Linked DNA regions of Saccharomyces cerevisiae S288C. The main gene of each other region encodes a partner of the protein of the gene in region 2 in a complex. Each region holds a gene or a part of one and is shown on either strand. Other genes may lie near its edges. A codon is read from its position in the direction of its gene.

Region 1 (7,219 bases), on a different chromosome or scaffold from region 2:
CTACTGAATTCCGCGTCATATGGTGACAGGTTAACAATGACAGTGGTAATTGACTCTTTACCTTTAACCAGTTCAAAATTTGTCAATGAATCAGTAGCTTCTGATAATGCTACTTTAGTCTCTTCGTTAGCAATCTCCAAGGTAGGAAAGTCGATGTCTTGTTCAATAGCTGTACTCGTGCCAATTTTCTCCAAGTTAAGAAAATGGAAAACTGGGGTCAGAGAACTTGTAGCAATCTTATAAGAAGAGTCCGCGTTTGAAATTGCAGTTTGCAAATCAGAAGATATTAAGATGGGGAAAGAAAGATCCTTTAACGCAGGAATTGCGGAATAATCTTGCAAATTCAAATCCACTGTAATCACCAATGGAAGTTTATTAGGAAGAGAATATAGATGGTGGATGGATTTGACCAAAGTAGTTTCATCTGTAAAAACGGTAGTTAAAATGTCCTTAGAGAGTTGATCTTTGATGGTATTCAATGGATCTTGATTGTTCAATAGATGAGTAGCATCTGTGGCAACAGATTCTAGCCCTTTGAAGGATGAATGACTATTTTTTGTGCTAGTAGTGTAGAACACTTTATTTTGGGGAGCACTAGAGGAATATTGCGCCAACAATTGTGGGAGCGTCAAGAGGTCAGAAGCAGTCATTCGCCAATCTTTTGTTTTTCTCTGGTTCCCGTTCCCTACTGTTACTTTATTAGTATATAAGGGATCTGAATAAATATCAAGACGATGGAAAAAAAATAACAAGCAAAGGAACCTTTCTATATCCCAATTTTATTTCACATTAAAAACTATCGTCTTCCAACACTTTATATAACTGCTTGCAGCGGCCAGTAATTCGTCGCATCTCCATGACTCAAATTTTCCAGTGTCTCTTAGCAGTTAAACCATTCCTGCCTCTGTGTGGTGGTAATTGTGGCATTATGAGTTAAGAGATAATACGCACGTGATGAAATTCATTCTGTGAAATATCACGTGGACAAATTATATTACCCGGATTCATAAATCCACGTATTTTACCTGCATCTTTATTGAGTGCTTAGTAAAAGTCAGTTGGTGAAATTCCGCAGATAAAACAGCATATTAGTTGCCTGAAAATAGCCTTATGTGTTGGTTTGATACGTCTTTGTCATTATATACCCAAAGGTTTGTAGTTCATGTTGCGGGTTGGTATGAATAAATTTTTCGTATTTAGTGATTATAATACTTATTACCCATTTCGGCGGCTAATAAGGAATCTGCTAAGATAGGTAAATGTACAATACCATCAATGGCTTCTAAAAGTTTTCAAAGAAGTGGGATAAGGGATGAAAGTTGTGCGTGTGTTGGTTACTTAGGTTCTAATTTGGCTTCAATTTGAAGTGAGATGTTTTGTTTAACATTAGTTTCAAATTAACAGCTTTTGTGAGAAAATATATTTTGGATGAATAGCAGAAAATAGAAATCTGGAAATAAACAAAACAGAGCCAAAATTCTAAGCTTAATAACATGAATATTTGTTTATCTAGCATCTTGTTCCTCCCACTCTTTTTCCGAAAATATGGCTAGCCAACTTAGGTGAATGGGGAAGGGTACTAGATTCATTCATTTATTTCTATTCAAGGACAAGAACTTTTAACATAGTAAGACCTTTATGTTAGTTTGGTGCGGCTGACAAATTCATAGCTAATGTGCTAGAGCTCTTATATTGGTAATTACTAATCCTTCATTGCTATTATGACTATCACATTATAAGGTAATGAAAAATTAAATCATTGTGTACGGATTAAGTCCTTTCTCTAAAAGAGATCACGTGACTATTTGAATCACTATCTATGTTAATCATTATTGTTTAAAAGATAGTAAGTGACAGAACAACGAATTGTTTCTGTAACTACTTTTTAAGCAGGGAAATAACTCAGCACTGACAAGGGACACTTTTTAAGGATGTTCGCTAAATTGCATGGGAAGAAACAAAGACCAATTTCTTCCATCAATTCACAAACTCCAAGGACTAGCAATACTACTCACGCAAATAGCATATCCTTATCATCGGGTAATTTGATAGTAGGTTCCAATAGAAATTTAAGACAAAAGAAAGAGCAGTTTGGTTCTCAACAAAGGGCTTCCGGCAGAAAGCTGATTTCAAATAAGGAAAATGACGATAACGTCAACAATGGTGGTGACAACAATTATGACAATGGGGAACGGGTCCATCGCCATCATATTCCAGGACTGAAAATAAAGGCGTATCAAGCTGAATTAGGCTATCATGAGTCCCGATTTTCCGAGAATTTAGTGATGCTAAATCTAGTTGAGTTCCCGGATATAAAACCTGGTGATTTGGTAGAATTGAAAACATATCACAAAAATCCATCTGCATCGAACGGAGATAAGAAAATTTATTTTATTGCAAAAGATTTTGACGGAGAGACTAAAAGAAGGGCAAAAACATCTAATGTTTCAATACTTTCGGGTCAACTGCAAACTTTGTTAGATTTGCCTTCTAGGTCTAGGATATGGATAAAATTGAAACCAAACAAATTTGACTTACAGGCAGATGTGGTAGAGTTTAATATCAAAGATTGCCTACTAAATAGAGGTGATATGTGGGTTCTATCATCTAAGCTGGTAGATACATGTGTGTTTATGGATCAAAGACTGGCATTCTTAGACTCTATCAGAGGTACTATTAAGGGAATTTATCGAAATGGTAAGAAGATTGTTTCTGGATATATTGGCGAACAAACAAGGATAATTTTTCGGTCCGAATCTGCCAGATTAATTTTTTTGATTCAAATAACTGATGAAATGTGGAACTTCGAAGAAACTGGTGAACAATTATTTCAAAAGATGGTTAATTCATTTTTCCCGAAGATCTTCAAAAAATGGAAAGATGTGGACACCCACCATACTATCACTATAGCCTTCGCTATATCAATGGACTTGTCTGATACATCATTCAAGGACTTAACACCCGGCGAATCTTTGAAAAATTCACAGGATTATTTTAGGATAGTTGTAGATCAAGTCAGTATTATCCATTGGGTTGATATTATGGAAACATTAAGAGAAGAATTTATGGAAATCAGAAAAGATTTATTAAACAAGCAAACGGATAAGGGTTACAGTGTAGCGAATGGAAGATTTTCACCTGTAATCAAGTCGAATTTTCTCGAATTGGTCAATTTTGCCACGACAATTTTAACGGATCCTTTCAAGCAATTAGATCTTCGACACACTACAACGCACGTCATGATTATTTCACCAGGGTCTGGATTATTTGACGTTGATTATAGTTTATTAAGGCTAACAGGAAAAAAACTACTCTCTCTTGAAATGACGATGGATTTAATATGTCTTTCAAAAGCTCCATTGCACATAGTTCCACTTTTTAGGTACCGAGACTTTGAGAACAAGCTTCATCATTGTGTACCGCTTTGGTTAAGTGTTTTCTTTTGGAATGATCATGACAAAAAGAGTAACTCAGAATGGACTCCAAGATGTAAAATTTATGACTTACAAATGATGGGGATTACTGAAAATGAGTTAATTCGGGAAGTGGATGTTGAATATTTACAGCTGAACAAGAAAGTCAAATCACTATCCGAGTTTATGAATGATTACGACAAAAATGCCTTCGAGGTGAAAATTTTATGCGCTGGCTCTAATACGAAACAATCTAAGAAATTAAATTCAAAGTTTGATACCGTCTTCGAGAATGATGTTGTTGTGAAGGCAAGGAAAATCCCGGCAACAGCAACAACAACACACGGTAACACAAAATTCATATGGAGAGGTCCAAAAGTTGCTCTCCCAGCCATTAAGGATATTCAAAAACCAAACGTAATACCAGATCTATCAATAAAAACAATAGAGGCCTCTTTTTATGATGATTGTAATACTACAAATGATAAAATTAGCACTCCCACCACTTCTAACAATGACAATCTCGAAATGAATGACTCATTGGTCTCTGTGAGATCTGCTGATAACCAAAACACATCTTTGGCGCTGGATTCGCTCAAAGGACTAAGCAAAAGGAACTCATTGAAAGATTTTACTCAAAGAGTAATTACAAAATTTATTTCGAACATAGACACAAGTAAAAATAAAAAAATAAAGTCAACATTACTCAGAGATGATGTGGATAACTCACCTTTAGGTTCAAATACACCACTACCATCTTCTGAAAGTAAAATAAGTGGCCTGAAATTACAACAAAAAGGCCTGGCAGATGAAAACGTTATCAGTAAACGTGGAAATTTGATAATAAAGAAAAACCTATCCATTTTTGGGCTACCTAGTAATGAAATCATGAGTGGTTCACCCTCCTCATATTTAGGCTCATCACATACCAGAACATCCTCTAAACTTTCTAATATGTCAGACAAGGCTGCTTTCATTACAGAAGGGCAAAAATCAAAACATGATGACTCGAACACTTATAGCCTCACACAGCAATTGAAACATCGTATAAGTGAAACTTGGGTGGATATTAAAAGTCCTTCCATTCCGGTAAGTAGTGAATTTGCCAACGAATTATTGCCTATACGTTGGAAAGATGTATGGCCAAAATATGTGGCCAGAAAATATAGTAAATGGAGGTCTTTTACAACCCCAGCAGAGTTACCAATCACAATTTCTGATTTTCCATCCAAGGATGATTTTGATAGGAACTTCATCTTCAGAAATCACTCAGTGACTTTAAACACAGATCAAGAACAATATAATCAGACATACAAAGACTTACTTCGTGATATGATTTATATGCGACTGTTAACTGGTTTTCAAATCTGCGTGGGCCGACAAGTAGAAAAAATAGAACTTTCTAGGGAAAGTGGTGAAAGTGAAACTGTAGTCAACAAGTATTTAGATTTCAATCAAAATGATGCGTTCAAACTTTATCTAATGATCGACTCTGAAATACACAGAATAACATGCTCGTCAAGTGGAATTATTGATGTGGAGAGGTATTTGAGAAAAGATGAAGCAAACTTGTTTGATCAGGTTCCTAGTTATATTCCGTTGGTTAAAACGAGATACGAGAGCTCATTTCGTGATGCTATGATTGACCCACTTCATGTTAAAAGAGAATCTTTGAACTGGAATCAAATTGATCAGGTTCTAGCAGGTTATGGCGATAACTTAATAGATAGGAAATGGCACGGATTTCGAGCTAAATATGTGGTGTTACCAACAGATATCCCTCCCAACACATATTCTATGGTTATCAATGGTAAAAGCGAAACTTTAAACCCAGAAGAAATCAGAGTCGAGGGTTTGAGAAGATTAATTGGCTCAATAACGAGGTCAAGACTAAGAACAGAGAAAGAAAAAAAAGGAAGAAAAACTAAGAGAGAAGAAATACAGCCTGAAGTTATGTTTTACACCGGCCCGCTTTACAACTTCATTAATGAGCAACAAACATCTTTAGAAAGCTCGGCTATAAATTTTAAAGATTCAATTTTTGTTAATGATAATAACCTTTTAAACAGAAATGTAGAACTATCCAAGTTGGCGTATCAAATTCAACGTGGCGAAGATCGCATTACTTTAGTCAACAGAAAATGGCACTGGAAAAAGCATGAAAAGTGTTTTGTTGGCTCGGAGATGGTTAATTGGCTCATAAGAAACTTCTCTGATATAGATACTCGAGAAGATGCAATTAAATATGGGCAGAAGGTGATGAAAGAGGGATTATTTGTTCACGTTTTAAATAAGCACAATTTTTTGGACGGGCACTACTTTTACCAGTTCTCACCTGAATACGTAATGGACACTAATAAACTAGAAAAAACAAACTCCCATCGCTCTACATTATCCGATCCAAAGCAGATGTTGAGAAAAGCATCCACTGGTAGCTCAAACGATCCAAGCGCTATGACTCCTTTTTCTTCAGTAGTACCTGCTATAAGCGCTTCGAATGCTTCAGTTGCTGACGCCAAAGAGCCATCACGCCCTATTTTAATGCTGAGTAACTCTCTTGTTATCGATGTTGATCCCGCGGGAAAATCCTCGAAACAAGAATCGTGTACAGTCCATTATGACAGAGTTCATAACCCCGACCACTGTTTTCACATAAGATTGGAATGGTTGACTACCACCCCAAAATTGATCGATGATTTGGTTGGGAACTGGTCAAGGTTATGCGAAAGGTACGGTTTGAAAATGATTGAAATTCCTTGGGAAGAACTTTGTACTATCCCTTCGGTCAATCCATTTCACTCTTTTGTGGAAATTAAGTTAGCTATCAATCCTTGGGAAGATCCTGAGTTCAAGGATAGGGAGCTTTTCGCTAAAAGCAAATTCTACTACCACGTTTATCTTTTAAAGGCATCTGGGTTTTTATTAGACAATAGGGCATCCAAATTTTTACAAAATCAAGATATAGAGTTTGACATCATGTATTCATGGGGCAAACCACAGTTCAAATATGTTCAATATATTCATCATACGGGTGCTTACGTCGCGGAATTGAGGGAAAATGGCTGCCTATTTTTAGCTCCTAACAACATTTATATATCCAGAGTGAATCCGGGAAACATAATCGGGAAAATTCATTCTGCTTCAAGCTCTTCATTAGATGCTCAAAAAGTGATCCTAAATTTCAAATCAACTTGCTTGGACTATCAGAAGTTAAGGTCAATTTTCCTTGACGCAAAGGAAATGTGGATTACAGGAAAGATTGTAGAAGATTGAGTAGCCCCATGACATGGATGAGTTTCTTCACAAAGTAAATAATATTCGAACGTGGATAGTAAAGCATAATGTTATCTATTTATATATAAATATACCTATGTTTTTATATGTCTGTTTACTGATCTAAAGTCTTTGAGCAATCTTGATAACATCACCCAAAACACCAGCGGCAGTAACGGCAGCACCGGCACCGGCACCTTGAATGACAACAGGATTGGTGTAACGCTTAGTCTTGATGGAAATAACGTTATCTGATCCCTTCAATGATGCGAATGGGTGTGAGTAATCGTACTTTTCAATTCCTACAGACACAGATTTGGTGGCAACATCGACTTTACCAATGAATCTCAATACCTTATTTTCAGTGGCAGCTTCCTTCTTCAATTGAGTCAAATCTTTATCGTAATCAGATAATTTTTCCAAGAATTCATCAGCAGACTTGACAGATTCCAATGGTTTTGGAATCAAAGACTGGACAGGGAAGGAAGTTGGAGATTCAACTTCCACACCAGATATCCTACCAACAATGGTAA
Region 2 (6,194 bases):
ATATGGAATGGCTGCACCACCACAACCACCAACGGCGACGGCAACCCCAACCCCGCTCACATGTAGTCTTTTGGGCAATACTTGTAATGCAACTATACTTGCGTTTGGGAATAATGGTCCGATAAACGTACCACAACAAAAAACAACAAAAAATAACACGACGAAATAGAAAACTGAGCTTGAATTGATCAACCCAACAAGCACAAATAAGGTGTATGAAGATAGAGTTAAAAAAGCGTACGCTTTGCTTGCTTTATACTCGTTTTCGAAGAATCTTTCAGTAACAAATCCTAGACACAACCTGCCTACAGTCAAACCTGTCCAAAACGATGCCGCTATGTATGACATAGCAACCTTATTACTTGATTTAGTTTCCAATAAATAACTAAAGAACCATGAACCAGTTGTAATTTCAGCACCTAAGTAAAGGAACAAATACAATGAGTACAAGAAAATAGCAGGATTTCTTAAAAGTTCAAAAAATCCTGGGCTCGCCTTGGTAGATTCCATCAGCGAGTTATCACCCGCTTCTTCCACATCATTGTTGCTTTCTTTGTTTTCCACAGAGCAGAGGTAGTCGTATTTACTTGCAGTTTCAAATTTAAAAGCTGGGAAGATTACAATCATGCCTATTATAGAAAAGAACAGAGGAATAAGGAAAAAAAGAGACCAATGACCCCATTCAACAAAATATGAAACTAAGGGAGGAGTAACCATAGCTGCTGCCCCGTAAAGACCATGCATGATACCCATGAGTTCATTCTTATGGACTAAAAGACTGCCCATTAAAACATTACCGGTAGAATCTAAGATGCCGATCCCTAAACCAAGAGGAAGGCCACAAAACATACAAACATAGAAACTAGAAGGTGCAGTTGCTAAAATGATAAGAAATACTATACACAAACCAGCTGCTAGAAGCATACCACCTCTCATACCAAAGTGCTTATTCAATCTCTCTTTTGATAAAGACGCCATCACATAACCACATAATTGGACTATAAATACGTTTGAGACATCTACCCGCGATATATGATAGTATTCAATTAGCGTAGGAAGTAGTGCACCTACTGTTTGATCGTTCATACCAAAGACTACGAACATAATCAAGCATGCTATCACCTGCAGCTTTACTAGTGGTACAGTTTGATAGTTTAGTGGATATGTTTTAACTTTCTCGCCCTGCCAGTCAATTTCTTTGATTAAGTTTGTATTGTTAGGTAGACTATCTTCATCTTGAGAATTTCTTCTGGAGTCTGATGATGATAGCAGATTTTTCAACTCTATTGGGTTATGATGTGAAATTTCAGTTGTATACATTCCATAATCATCTACCTTTGGTGGAACCGAGGAAGCATCCATGCTGAAAACTTATATATGGATTAAATTATACTATGAATCCCTAGGATCTTATTCTTGGTTTCTTACTATAGCATTTTAGAATACTGTTGAATGTCTAGCTATGCATGATCGGAGAGTTTAAATTTTTCTGTCTCGGAACGTTCTTTTTAATTTGTCAAAAACATCGATATATAACGATGATTACTGAAAAAGGAAAACCGATTGATAATACATATGGTGCGATTGCTGGCTGAAGGCGAGTGAGCTATTGAGTGGATTTAGTTGAAAATCATGAGCTTATCACCACACGTAGAAAATGCTTCCATTCCCAAGGGGAGTACCCCGATACCAAAAAACAGAAACGTTAGTTCTATAGGCAAGGGCGAGTTTCTTGGATCTTCGTCAAGCAACAATTCTTCTTTTCGAATGAATCATTACTCAAATAGTGGACAACCTTCCGTGTTAGATTCTATACGGCGACCTAATCTAACTCCAACTTTTTCTTACAGTAATGGGGTTTATATGCCTGAAAGTCACAGAACTAGTTCATTCAACGATAGTTATTTGCCATATGATAAGAATCCTTACGCAAAAACAACCGGAAGCATGAGCAATAAATCGAACATGAAAATCAAAACAAAGAAAAATGCAATCAACACAAATACAAGAAAGTCGTCTGGACTCATTTACACCACCAAAGTGGATAAAGAATTATCTAGTATAGACAAAGTGAATGATCCAAACATTAACGGTCTTGTTTGTGCAGGTAAAACTCATTTGGGGCTCTATAAATTCTCGCCCTCAGATAGATCTATCAAATGCGTTCATGATTTCATAACACCTAATAGCAACACCTCAACAAGGGGAACGACATCCCTTTTGCCCAAGCTGAGCAAAAGAACAAGACAGAACAAATTTAGTACCATTGCGGATGTTAAGACTGGATTTAATAATTACAAGAACTGTATTGCAGTGTGCAACAATTCTACGGCGATATCGATATATGATCTCAATAAGAGTTCCTCGATAGACAATCCCTTGATAACATCCTTATGCGAACACACTAGATCTATCAATAGTTTTGACTTCAACATGGTCGAATCAAACCTAATAATAAGTGGTGGACAAGATAGTTGTGTAAAAATATGGGATTTACGTTCCAATAAATCTAAAAGCTCAAATAGATCTGACATTAGTATAAATACCGCATCTGACTCAATCAGAGATGTAAAATGGATGCCCGGTTACAATTTTGCATCTAAGAACGATCAAGGTTCATCAACGTATGGTAATTTAAAAAGCGGTTACAAATTTGCTTCTATTCACGATTCGGGATACTTGCTAAAGTTTGATCTTCGACAACCTGCCCAATACGAAAAAAAATTAAATGCTCACACAGGACCCGGTCTTTGTTTAAATTGGCATCCCAATCAAGAATACATTGCTACAGGTGGTAGAGACGGTAAATGCTGCCTCTGGTTTGTTGGCGACAATGCCAATGCCGCCGAAAATACAGTCCTCAATTACGGGAACTCTCCCTCGTTACATGCCCCCAATACGTCCTTGAACAATAGCGGCTCGCTGGCATTTCCCAAACTAACAATTAATACGGGCTATCCAGTCACTAAATTGAAGTTCAAGCCTGCTTATAGTAGTAATATATATAATTCATTACTAGGAATATCGTCAATGGGTGACGAAGCTGAAGTTCGCATCTATTCCTTGGCAAGAAAGTACATTCCAAAACATGTTCTCCTATCAGAAACGCCTTCTTTAGGATTAGTATGGTGGGACGAAAACTTGATCTTTAATATCGATAAGGGGACCCGTATAAATGGCTGGGACATTAACAAAGAACCAACAGTGCTCGAAAATTTGAGCAAAAATACAACAACTTGGAGAGATTTGGATGGTAACGGTTTACTTTCAGTTGACCAAGAGATAGGCTCATATGAGGTGGTAGAACCGGAGCTTCAACCTACCTCAAGTACCACATGCAAGAAGCATCCAGGTACAATAAAAAACCCGAAGAATGGCAATCCAGAGAACCAGGGAATAATTGGAGGGATAAAAAAAGGATTTAGCCATACTGGATTAACAAGTTTTACGCCAGAGAGGCCGCCTACTTTAAAAGCAGGCCCAACGTTTAGCACAAAAAGCTTAACATTAGCATCTGGAGCATCTTCTTTTAACAGCTCTTCCGCATCATTGACATCCCTGACGCCACAAACTGAAAATAGAGAAGAAATCGCCATTGAACCGCCTTGTATCATCACTTTGGATATACCGCAGATCTTCAATAACATAAGATTAACCAAAATCGCACATTCAAGAAAAAAGAACGTCATTTCCGAAAGTTCTTCTATGAAAAATTCTCCAGTAGAAAAGTTCAAATATTTGGCGAGACAGCTCAAGTTTTCGTATATTCGAGAGCATAATGTTTCAGACAGTGCAGACACTGCATATAAAAATGATATAGAGAACATTGACGTCGTTAAAAACGCAACCGAAACACATGGTGATAATACTACTACTACCAATAATAATGATGATGGTGATGATGATGATGATGATGATGATGATGACAAAATAATCGAAAGTCACCTTTTGAAAAAATACAATTTTCCAGAAAATAATACATGGGCTACCTTAATGAATGAAAAAGTAAATAACAAAAAATCCAAAAGAAATTCCAGTAGTTCGAGGGAGTTTGACGAGAAGGATGTCAGATCAAGTATATCTTCCATTTCTGCAAGTAGGCAAAGTCATGACAGAGCTAGGAAGATCGACAAGAACGTGGAAGCAGAACTGCAAGAAAAAATACAAACACTGGTAGATTTGATATCTATTGCAACGCATAACGCATCTGTTTATCTATCCATAGATGATCTAACCAACTTCAAAATCTGGATCTTGATAAGAGATTCATTGTTATGGGACTTGAAGTGGATGACCTCCTCCCAAATTTCATCAGATAACGCATCTAATATGGATGCCAATGAAAGCTCCGATTTCGAAGCTGGAGAAAATCTGAAAACAGGAAAAGAGTTCCCAGAGGAGGATGGTGCAGGGACAAGTGGGGCTGAGTCGTTAGTTGAAGAAAGGCCGCAGGCATTTCGTGCTAACTCTGATGAACCAAGTGATGCCGAAAAGAAACCTGTTTCTAAGCTCAAAGAGCAGCTCAAAAACACGGAAATAATCCCCTATGCGCAGCCAAATGAGGATTCAGATGAAGTTTTAACTAAGCTAAAAGAGCTACAGAACCAACGCTTGGAGTCAAGGACTAAAATGGGAGAAACAGTGAGTGACGATGTGATTATAGAGGAAGACGAACATGAACATCAAGAAGAAGAACAGCCTCATGACTCACCGACTAAGTCAGCACAATTTCACGCGTCTCCTATCGCGAAAAGTATACCAATATTGCAGAAACGTGAGCACCGCAAGTCATTCATAGATACTTTCATGTTGCATTCTCCCAACGGTTACAATGGAGATACGGACATAGGTAACGAAGATGACAATATATCTCCTAGGTTTACTTACAACAGCGTAAGCCCACGCAGTAAGGTTTCGTCGCTACAAAGCTATGCCACAACAACCTCGCAACTAGAAACTTTTAAAAAGCTTTCTTCCCATACAGCACCAATAATCGGATCGCCCAGACATGCGCCATCACGGCCAGATAGCATTGGTAGGGAACAACTGTCTTCTTCATTGACGAAAAAGCTTGCCAAATGCAAGAAAATTATCGCTGACCCACCCTGGGACACGAAAAAACTCATCAAACAACTCTACAATCAAGCTACTGAGACTGGGAACGTCGTATTGACGGTGAATATTTTATTTCTTTTCCAAACGATATACCAAATAACAGAAATCGACATTGCAAAGGACGCAATCGCTCACTTCTTGTTATTATTACATCGATACGAACTCTTCGGCATTGCTGCAGACGTCTTAAAATACTGCCCATTCGAAGATATCATGGGTTCTGAGGGTGACCAATCTTCCATTCGGTTGTTTTGCGAACGCTGTGGTGAGTTAATCACTAACGAAAGTTCTAAAGAAAAGCTCAGAGCGGAAGCTCAGCAGACGGGCAATAAGAAGATCATGGACAAGTTTGGATACTGGTATTGTGACTCTTGTAAGAAGAAGAATACATCTTGTGTTCTATGTGAAAGACCATTAAAGAAACTGACCATGGTCATCCTCCCCTGTGGACACGAAGGTCACTTCCAGTGCATACAAGAATGGTTTCTCGATGAGAATGAACAAGAATGTCCCGGCGGTTGCCCCGGTGTTGCATTCATCTAGGTTCTCCACATAATGTATAGTTTAACATATCATCACCATTGTTTAGTTAAATCGTTTAGAGTAATATTACCCGTCAAAAAGGTCGGGTAAAATTTTATTACCCTCTCCGAAAAGAAAATTTTTTTCGTCGTCAATAGAGTTTAATGCAATACCTGATAAAGAGAGTTTTACATTGCAAGAGGTAGTGTTAATTCTGGATTTATATTGTACATATGTGTTTGTGTTAGTGCTTGAGTACTTCCTAGGAGTTTTACGAAAAATAAAAGCATTTTTGTCTGAAAACTAGTGAAAGGAAGAAAAATGTCCGTTGAAGAAGTTAGCAAGAAGTTTGAAGAAAACGTTTCAGTCGATGATACCACAGCTACTCCAAAGACTGTTTTAAGTGACAGTGCTCACTTCGATGTCAAGCACCCATTGAACACCAAATGGACTTTATGGTACACAAAGCCAGCCGTCGATAAATCTGAGTCGTGGTCTGATCTATTACGTCCCGTCACTTCATTCCAAACTGTTGAAGAATTTTGGGCTATCATTCA
Region 3 (3,393 bases), on a different chromosome or scaffold from region 2:
ATCAAATGGTTGTAGAGAGCGCAATTATGAAAAAGAGTTACCACGTTTCTTTTGTTTCGATAAAATGTCCAGTTGAAAACCTGTTTTACTAACGATTTAAAAATTGTATTTCATTACAATATTTTTTTTGTACAGCCGGTAAAGGTCGTATCGGTAAGCACAGAAAGCACCCCGGTGGTAGAGGTATGGCCGGTGGTCAACATCACCACAGAATTAACATGGATAAATACCATCCAGGTTATTTCGGTAAGGTTGGTATGAGATACTTCCACAAGCAACAAGCTCATTTCTGGAAGCCAGTCTTGAACTTGGACAAATTGTGGACATTGATCCCAGAAGACAAGAGAGACCAATACTTGAAATCTGCTTCTAAGGAAACTGCTCCAGTTATTGACACTTTGGCAGCCGGTTACGGTAAGATCTTGGGTAAGGGTAGAATTCCAAATGTTCCAGTTATCGTCAAAGCTAGATTCGTCTCCAAGTTGGCTGAAGAAAAAATCAGAGCTGCTGGTGGTGTTGTTGAATTGATCGCTTAAGCGCATCAACAAAAACTCTATGTATTTTCCAATAAATTATATATCTTCAGTTTAATCTAATTCAACATCTACTTCTGTATTATTTCTATCACCCATTTTCACCGTTTTTTCGTCTTGTCTATTTTGAAGTTACCAGTGGCAGATCCCAACGCTTTTATCGCTTTTTTAAAAGATTTTCAAAATCCATATATAAACATAGGGTCCAAAAAGAAAACAAATAACAAAACAAGAAAACCTATTCGAGGTAAAGACCAGGAAAAACAAAATGACTGCAGTTAACATCTGGAAGCCAGAAGATAATATACCTAGGGAGATTTTGGCAATTCTTTCGAAACCTCACCCAAATTATCAGTTAGCGTTTTTGAATATTATACAACTTTTGAAAACGCAAAGAAGAACTGGTTGGGTTGACCATGGTATTGACCCATGCGAAAGTATATCTGACCATATGTACAGAATGGGTTTAACTACCATGCTGATTACGGACAAGAATGTTGATCGTAACAAATGTATCAGAATCGCACTTGTTCACGATTTTGCGGAGTCATTAGTTGGTGATATTACACCTAATGACCCAATGACAAAGGAAGAGAAACATCGCAGAGAATTTGAAACTGTCAAGTATCTCTGTGAAAGCATAATAAGGCCCTGCAGTGAAAGCGCATCTAGGGAAATTCTTGATGACTGGTTAGCATACGAAAAGCAGACCTGTTTGGAAGGAAGATATGTCAAAGATATTGATAAGTATGAAATGTTGGTTCAATGTTTTGAGTACGAACAAAAGTATAATGGCAAGAAGGATTTGAAACAATTTTTGGGAGCCATCAATGATATAAAAACTGATGAAGTTAAAAAATGGACACAATCTTTACTGGAAGATCGACAAGCCTTTTTCGACAGTTTGAAGGAGTAATAATGTGGCCTTTTGAAAGAAAAGTTAGTGCTTTTTTTTCTTTTCTCAAACCTTCACCTGGTGGTGCGTATCATTTATAATAACATCTTGATGCTTTTCAACGAGATAGTGCCCATTTTATTTTGCATGTATTATACTTCCAGCACCCGGTGTGCATTATATGTAACTTTAGAAATAATCTTTTGTATATTATTCGCGATTGAATGTGCGTGCTGCATTATCAACCAAGTTTTAATATATCTGTTTCTCTTATTTATTGTTAGTTAAGTCTTCGGCAAAACGATGGAAAAAATCATGAACTGAATAGAGACAAGTAAACCAAATTATAAACAAGGTTTCCCTTCTGAAGAGATACTAAGGAAGAAGAAGAACGACCCAATAATATTTCTGAATATGCAACCATTTGATAGTGGGCATGATGATTTAGTTCATGATGTCGTTTATGACTTTTACGGAAGACATGTGGCAACATGCTCTTCTGATCAACATATTAAAGTTTTTAAATTAGACAAGGACACGAGTAATTGGGAACTCAGTGACTCATGGAGAGCTCACGACAGTAGTATCGTGGCCATTGATTGGGCCAGTCCAGAATATGGGCGCATCATTGCTTCAGCCTCTTACGATAAGACGGTAAAATTATGGGAAGAAGATCCCGACCAAGAAGAATGCTCTGGCCGTCGTTGGAACAAGCTGTGTACCCTGAATGATTCCAAAGGATCACTTTATAGTGTAAAATTTGCGCCAGCGCATTTGGGCTTAAAATTAGCTTGTTTGGGTAACGATGGAATCCTCAGACTTTATGATGCCTTAGAACCTTCTGACCTAAGGTCATGGACACTGACTTCTGAGATGAAAGTGCTATCTATACCACCAGCAAATCATTTACAGTCTGATTTTTGTCTCTCTTGGTGTCCTTCGAGATTTTCTCCTGAAAAGCTCGCAGTCTCTGCATTGGAACAAGCGATTATATACCAAAGGGGTAAAGACGGTAAACTTCACGTTGCAGCAAAACTTCCCGGTCATAAAAGTTTAATAAGAAGTATCAGCTGGGCTCCTTCCATTGGTAGATGGTATCAACTCATTGCAACAGGTTGCAAAGATGGTAGAATTAGAATTTTCAAAATCACAGAAAAACTAAGTCCCCTGGCCTCAGAGGAGTCTTTAACTAACTCAAATATGTTTGATAATAGTGCTGATGTTGACATGGATGCACAGGGCAGATCAGACTCAAATACCGAAGAGAAAGCTGAGCTACAATCAAACTTGCAAGTTGAACTTCTAAGCGAGCATGATGACCATAATGGCGAAGTTTGGTCCGTGTCTTGGAATTTAACGGGTACAATCTTAAGCAGTGCTGGGGATGATGGGAAGGTACGTTTATGGAAAGCCACTTATTCAAATGAATTTAAGTGTATGTCAGTAATTACTGCCCAACAATAAATAAGAATATATGTATACATAACATTATATATTGGTACTTTATACGTGTGCATTATTCTGTATAATACGAGGCAACAGATGAATCAAGAAAGATGATGCTTTTAAAAAGCTCTTACAAATATAATGATATTACATCAAATGATATTATTATTCTTGATATTGGGTATTCTTTCGAATTATATCAAGCTTCCCTTCCCTCGCCTTTTCGCCTGGAAATTTTTCAATGCCGAGATTAAAAAATTTGTCAATGAAAATGCATTCTACTACTTAATAAAGAGGTGATGAGCTTATAAGCCAACTTCTTTTAAACACAAAACTAAATCTGATATTGAGGACCCCCACCAACTATGCCACCAAAAGAAGCTCCCAAGAAATGGAAGGCGCCAAAAGGGCCAAAACCTACCCACCGTAAAAATAAAAATAAGCTTGAATTAGGCAGAGCTATTAAATATGCACGTCAAAAAGAAAATGCCATCGAGTATTTACCTGATGGTGAAATGA
Region 4 (3,292 bases), on a different chromosome or scaffold from region 2:
TGGCGACGAAGATGACGAGGATGCCAGTGAAAGACGAATCATTCGGATATATTATGCAGCTTTGAATGATTATAAAGGAACATATTCACAAAGCAGAAATTGTGAGCGCGCCAAAAACTTGTTGGAATTAACGTACAAGGAATTTCAGCCTCATGTCGACAATTTGGATCCTTTGCAAGTATTTTACTACGTCCGTTGCTTACAATTATTGGGGCACATGTATTTCACCGGCGAAGGCTCCTCGAAGCCTAATATTCATATGGCCGAAGAGATCCTGACCACGTCGCTAGAAATAAGCAGAAGGGCACAGGGACCTATAGGTAGAGCGTGCATAGATCTGGGCTTAATAAATCAATACATCACAAACAATATTTCTCAAGCAATTTCGTATTATATGAAAGCTATGAAAACACAAGCTAACAATGGAATCGTAGAATTCCAATTATCCAAATTGGCCACTTCATTCCCTGAAGAAAAAATCGGCGACCCATTTAACTTAATGGAAACTGCCTACTTGAATGGATTCATTCCAGCCATATATGAGTTTGCAGTAATGATCGAATCTGGAATGAACAGTAAGAGTAGTGTGGAAAACACTGCTTACCTGTTCAAAACATTCGTTGACAAAAACGAAGCTATTATGGCACCTAAACTGAGGACAGCATTTGCCGCATTAATCAACGATCGTTCAGAAGTGGCTTTATGGGCTTATTCCCAACTAGCCGAGCAAGGCTACGAGACTGCTCAAGTCTCTGCCGCCTACTTAATGTACCAGTTGCCATATGAGTTTGAGGATCCTCCAAGAACCACAGATCAGAGAAAAACTTTGGCAATTTCCTACTATACAAGAGCGTTTAAACAGGGAAATATAGATGCTGGTGTTGTCGCGGGAGATATCTATTTTCAGATGCAGAATTACAGTAAAGCTATGGCTCTTTATCAGGGTGCAGCTTTGAAGTACTCTATACAGGCTATCTGGAACTTAGGGTACATGCATGAGCATGGGCTAGGTGTAAACAGAGATTTCCATCTTGCTAAACGTTACTACGACCAAGTTTCAGAACACGATCATAGATTTTACTTGGCTTCCAAATTGAGTGTTTTAAAATTACACCTAAAGTCATGGTTGACTTGGATCACCAGAGAAAAAGTAAACTACTGGAAACCTTCCTCGCCACTTAACCCTAACGAAGATACTCAGCACTCGAAGACTTCATGGTACAAGCAATTGACGAAGATTCTACAAAGAATGAGACATAAGGAGGATAGTGACAAAGCTGCGGAAGATTCTCACAAACACAGAACTGTAGTGCAGAATGGAGCTAACCATAGGGGTGACGACCAAGAGGAGGCTTCCGAGATTTTGGGCTTCCAAATGGAGGATCTTGTTACGATGGGATGTATCTTGGGGATATTCCTATTAAGTATATTAATGAGTACACTGGCGGCCCGTAGAGGCTGGAATGTCCGTTTCAATGGAGCACAATTAAATGCAAATGGTAACCGGCAGCAAGAGCAACAACAACAACAACAAGCACAAGGTCCCCCGGGCTGGGACTTCAATGTTCAGATATTCGCCATATGATGTGGTTTGTATAGATATATACATAGACTATCCATAGAAATCACCCACGCATTACCCGAAAGTTTTCAATAAAGCGAACAGCGAGAAGAAAAAAAGCGAAACCGACAGAGAATTACCACCCTAGAGCTTTAACCCCATTGAGATCAACACAATTTCGAACAGTGAAAGTGCATTGGCGAAGGTGATACAATTGGCTTCCAGCTCTGAATAATAATAACTTACAAGCGCAAAGATAACAGATAATTTTATATCAGCATACAAATGGTCGTCATAGCTAATGCGCACAACGAATTAATCCATGACGCTGTTCTAGACTATTATGGGAAGCGCCTTGCAACCTGCTCTTCTGACAAGACAATCAAGATCTTTGAAGTCGAAGGAGAAACACACAAGTTAATAGACACGTTGACTGGCCACGAAGGCCCAGTTTGGCGTGTTGATTGGGCACATCCTAAATTCGGAACCATTTTGGCATCGTGTTCTTATGATGGTAAAGTGTTGATTTGGAAGGAAGAAAACGGTAGATGGTCTCAAATTGCCGTTCATGCTGTCCACTCTGCTTCTGTCAACTCTGTTCAATGGGCTCCTCATGAATATGGCCCCCTACTGCTGGTTGCTTCCTCTGATGGTAAGGTCTCCGTAGTAGAGTTCAAAGAAAACGGTACTACTTCCCCAATAATCATCGATGCTCATGCCATTGGCGTTAACTCTGCTTCTTGGGCTCCAGCTACCATCGAAGAAGATGGTGAACACAACGGTACTAAAGAATCTCGCAAGTTTGTTACTGGGGGTGCTGACAATTTGGTAAAGATTTGGAAGTACAATTCAGATGCCCAAACTTATGTTCTGGAAAGCACCTTAGAAGGTCACAGCGATTGGGTTAGAGACGTAGCATGGTCACCTACTGTTCTTCTACGTTCTTATTTGGCCAGTGTTTCTCAAGATCGCACCTGTATTATTTGGACTCAAGACAATGAACAAGGCCCATGGAAAAAAACTTTATTAAAAGAAGAAAAATTCCCAGATGTTTTATGGAGAGCCAGTTGGTCTTTGTCAGGTAATGTACTAGCTCTTTCCGGTGGCGATAATAAAGTTACTTTATGGAAGGAAAATCTTGAGGGTAAATGGGAACCCGCTGGTGAAGTTCATCAGTGAAGAGTATCAAGAATTTAAAATGAAACATCTCAAAAGAAAAAAGAATGCAAATGAGTCTATCGACGAATTTGAAGGGAAATAAACGCATAATGTACAGTAACGTATAACAATTAAAGATTTGTGGAAGTTTTCAAAAACTTTTCAACTTTTTTCTTTGTTTTTTTTTTGCAACTTCTTATATTAATATTGTCATAGATATTTCTTATACAAAAACAAGCGAACAAAAATAATCGACGTATATACAATAGATATATAAGACTGTTTTTCTTCAATAGAACAGGCGAAATTATTCTACCGGCCGAAGGTACATCTTCCCGCTATGTAATAAATAGAGGTATTTAAGTTATAACAATTATAATTCCCCCATTACGGCAGCAATTAAGTTTTGCACGTCATTAGAGGCGATTTTACCATTCTCCAGTACTTCAGCGTGAGTCGCTTTGCCTTTTTCTAAGGGTACAGGTGATTCGTCCAACGCACTGGCAGGGCTATCCACCACGCAAGTATTGGTAATCAAACTTAAGGCCAAAACCCTCCATCCGCAATGTCTTG

Evidence for each region.
Region 1: RTC1 (region 2) and IML1 share a complex: the UniProt entries of both Saccharomyces cerevisiae proteins name them as parts of the SEA complex.
Region 3: the proteins of RTC1 (region 2) and SEH1 are in contact, whole or in part, in a cryo-EM structure (PDB 8ADL), measured with the Saccharomyces cerevisiae proteins. Residues at the interface, in NP_014503.2 of Saccharomyces cerevisiae: Ser128 (codon at 2,014), Asn439 (codon at 2,947), Thr440 (codon at 2,950), Gly441 (codon at 2,953), Glu470 (codon at 3,040), Arg474 (codon at 3,052), Arg480 (codon at 3,070), Tyr482 (codon at 3,076), Ile483 (codon at 3,079), His486 (codon at 3,088), Val487 (codon at 3,091), Leu489 (codon at 3,097), Pro523 (codon at 3,199), Val525 (codon at 3,205), Leu526 (codon at 3,208), Glu527 (codon at 3,211), Asn528 (codon at 3,214), Leu529 (codon at 3,217), Ser530 (codon at 3,220), Lys531 (codon at 3,223), Asn532 (codon at 3,226), Thr533 (codon at 3,229), Thr534 (codon at 3,232), Thr535 (codon at 3,235), Trp536 (codon at 3,238), Arg537 (codon at 3,241), Asp538 (codon at 3,244), Leu539 (codon at 3,247), Asn542 (codon at 3,256), Gly543 (codon at 3,259); in NP_011415.1 of Saccharomyces cerevisiae: Met1 (codon at 1,843), Gln2 (codon at 1,846), Pro3 (codon at 1,849), Phe4 (codon at 1,852), Asp5 (codon at 1,855), Ser6 (codon at 1,858), His8 (codon at 1,864), Asp9 (codon at 1,867), Asp10 (codon at 1,870), Leu11 (codon at 1,873), Val12 (codon at 1,876), His13 (codon at 1,879), Asp14 (codon at 1,882), Val15 (codon at 1,885), Val16 (codon at 1,888), Tyr17 (codon at 1,891), Asp18 (codon at 1,894), Phe19 (codon at 1,897), Tyr20 (codon at 1,900), Gly21 (codon at 1,903), Arg22 (codon at 1,906), Val24 (codon at 1,912), Thr26 (codon at 1,918), Ser29 (codon at 1,927), Asp30 (codon at 1,930), Gln31 (codon at 1,933), Leu38 (codon at 1,954), Trp45 (codon at 1,975), Arg52 (codon at 1,996), Asp55 (codon at 2,005).
Region 4: RTC1 (region 2) and SEC13 share a complex: the UniProt entries of both Saccharomyces cerevisiae proteins name them as parts of the SEA complex.

Annotation. Positions count from the first base shown.
Region 1 is NC_001142.9:682,636-689,854, forward strand, and holds IML1 (GTPase-activating protein IML1), read left to right. Parts: upstream 1-1,931; coding exon 1,932-6,686; downstream 6,687-7,219. Other genes in the region: MET5 (sulfite reductase (NADPH) subunit beta), read right to left, coding at 1-650; HOM6 (homoserine dehydrogenase), read right to left, coding at 6,810-7,219. UniProt on the Saccharomyces cerevisiae protein: Component of the SEA complex which coats the vacuolar membrane and is involved in intracellular trafficking, autophagy, response to nitrogen starvation, and amino acid biogenesis.
Region 2 is NC_001147.6:60,789-66,982, reverse strand, and holds RTC1 (Rtc1p), read left to right. Parts: upstream 1-1,632; coding exon 1,633-5,658; downstream 5,659-6,194. Other genes in the region: BSC6 (Bsc6p), read right to left, coding at 1-1,362; CDC33 (translation initiation factor eIF4E), read left to right, coding at 5,959-6,194. UniProt on the Saccharomyces cerevisiae protein: Component of the SEA complex which coats the vacuolar membrane and is involved in intracellular trafficking, autophagy, response to nitrogen starvation, and amino acid biogenesis. May be involved in a process influencing telomere capping.
Region 3 is NC_001139.9:311,392-314,784, forward strand, and holds SEH1 (Seh1p), read left to right. Parts: upstream 1-1,842; coding exon 1,843-2,892; downstream 2,893-3,393. Other genes in the region: 60S ribosomal protein uL15 RPL28, read left to right, coding at 136-536; YGK1 (5'-deoxynucleotidase), read left to right, coding at 802-1,449; ribosome biogenesis GTPase LSG1, read left to right, coding at 3,240-3,393. UniProt on the Saccharomyces cerevisiae protein: Functions as a component of the nuclear pore complex (NPC).
Region 4 is NC_001144.5:557,705-560,996, forward strand, and holds SEC13 (GTPase-activating protein SEC13), read left to right. Parts: upstream 1-1,846; coding exon 1,847-2,740; downstream 2,741-3,292. Other genes in the region: ubiquitin ligase complex subunit HRD3, read left to right, coding at 1-1,585; PNP1 (purine-nucleoside phosphorylase), read right to left, coding at 3,093-3,292. UniProt on the Saccharomyces cerevisiae protein: Functions as a component of the nuclear pore complex (NPC) and the COPII coat. It is one of 5 proteins constituting the COPII coat, which is involved in anterograde (ER to Golgi) double-membrane transport vesicle formation.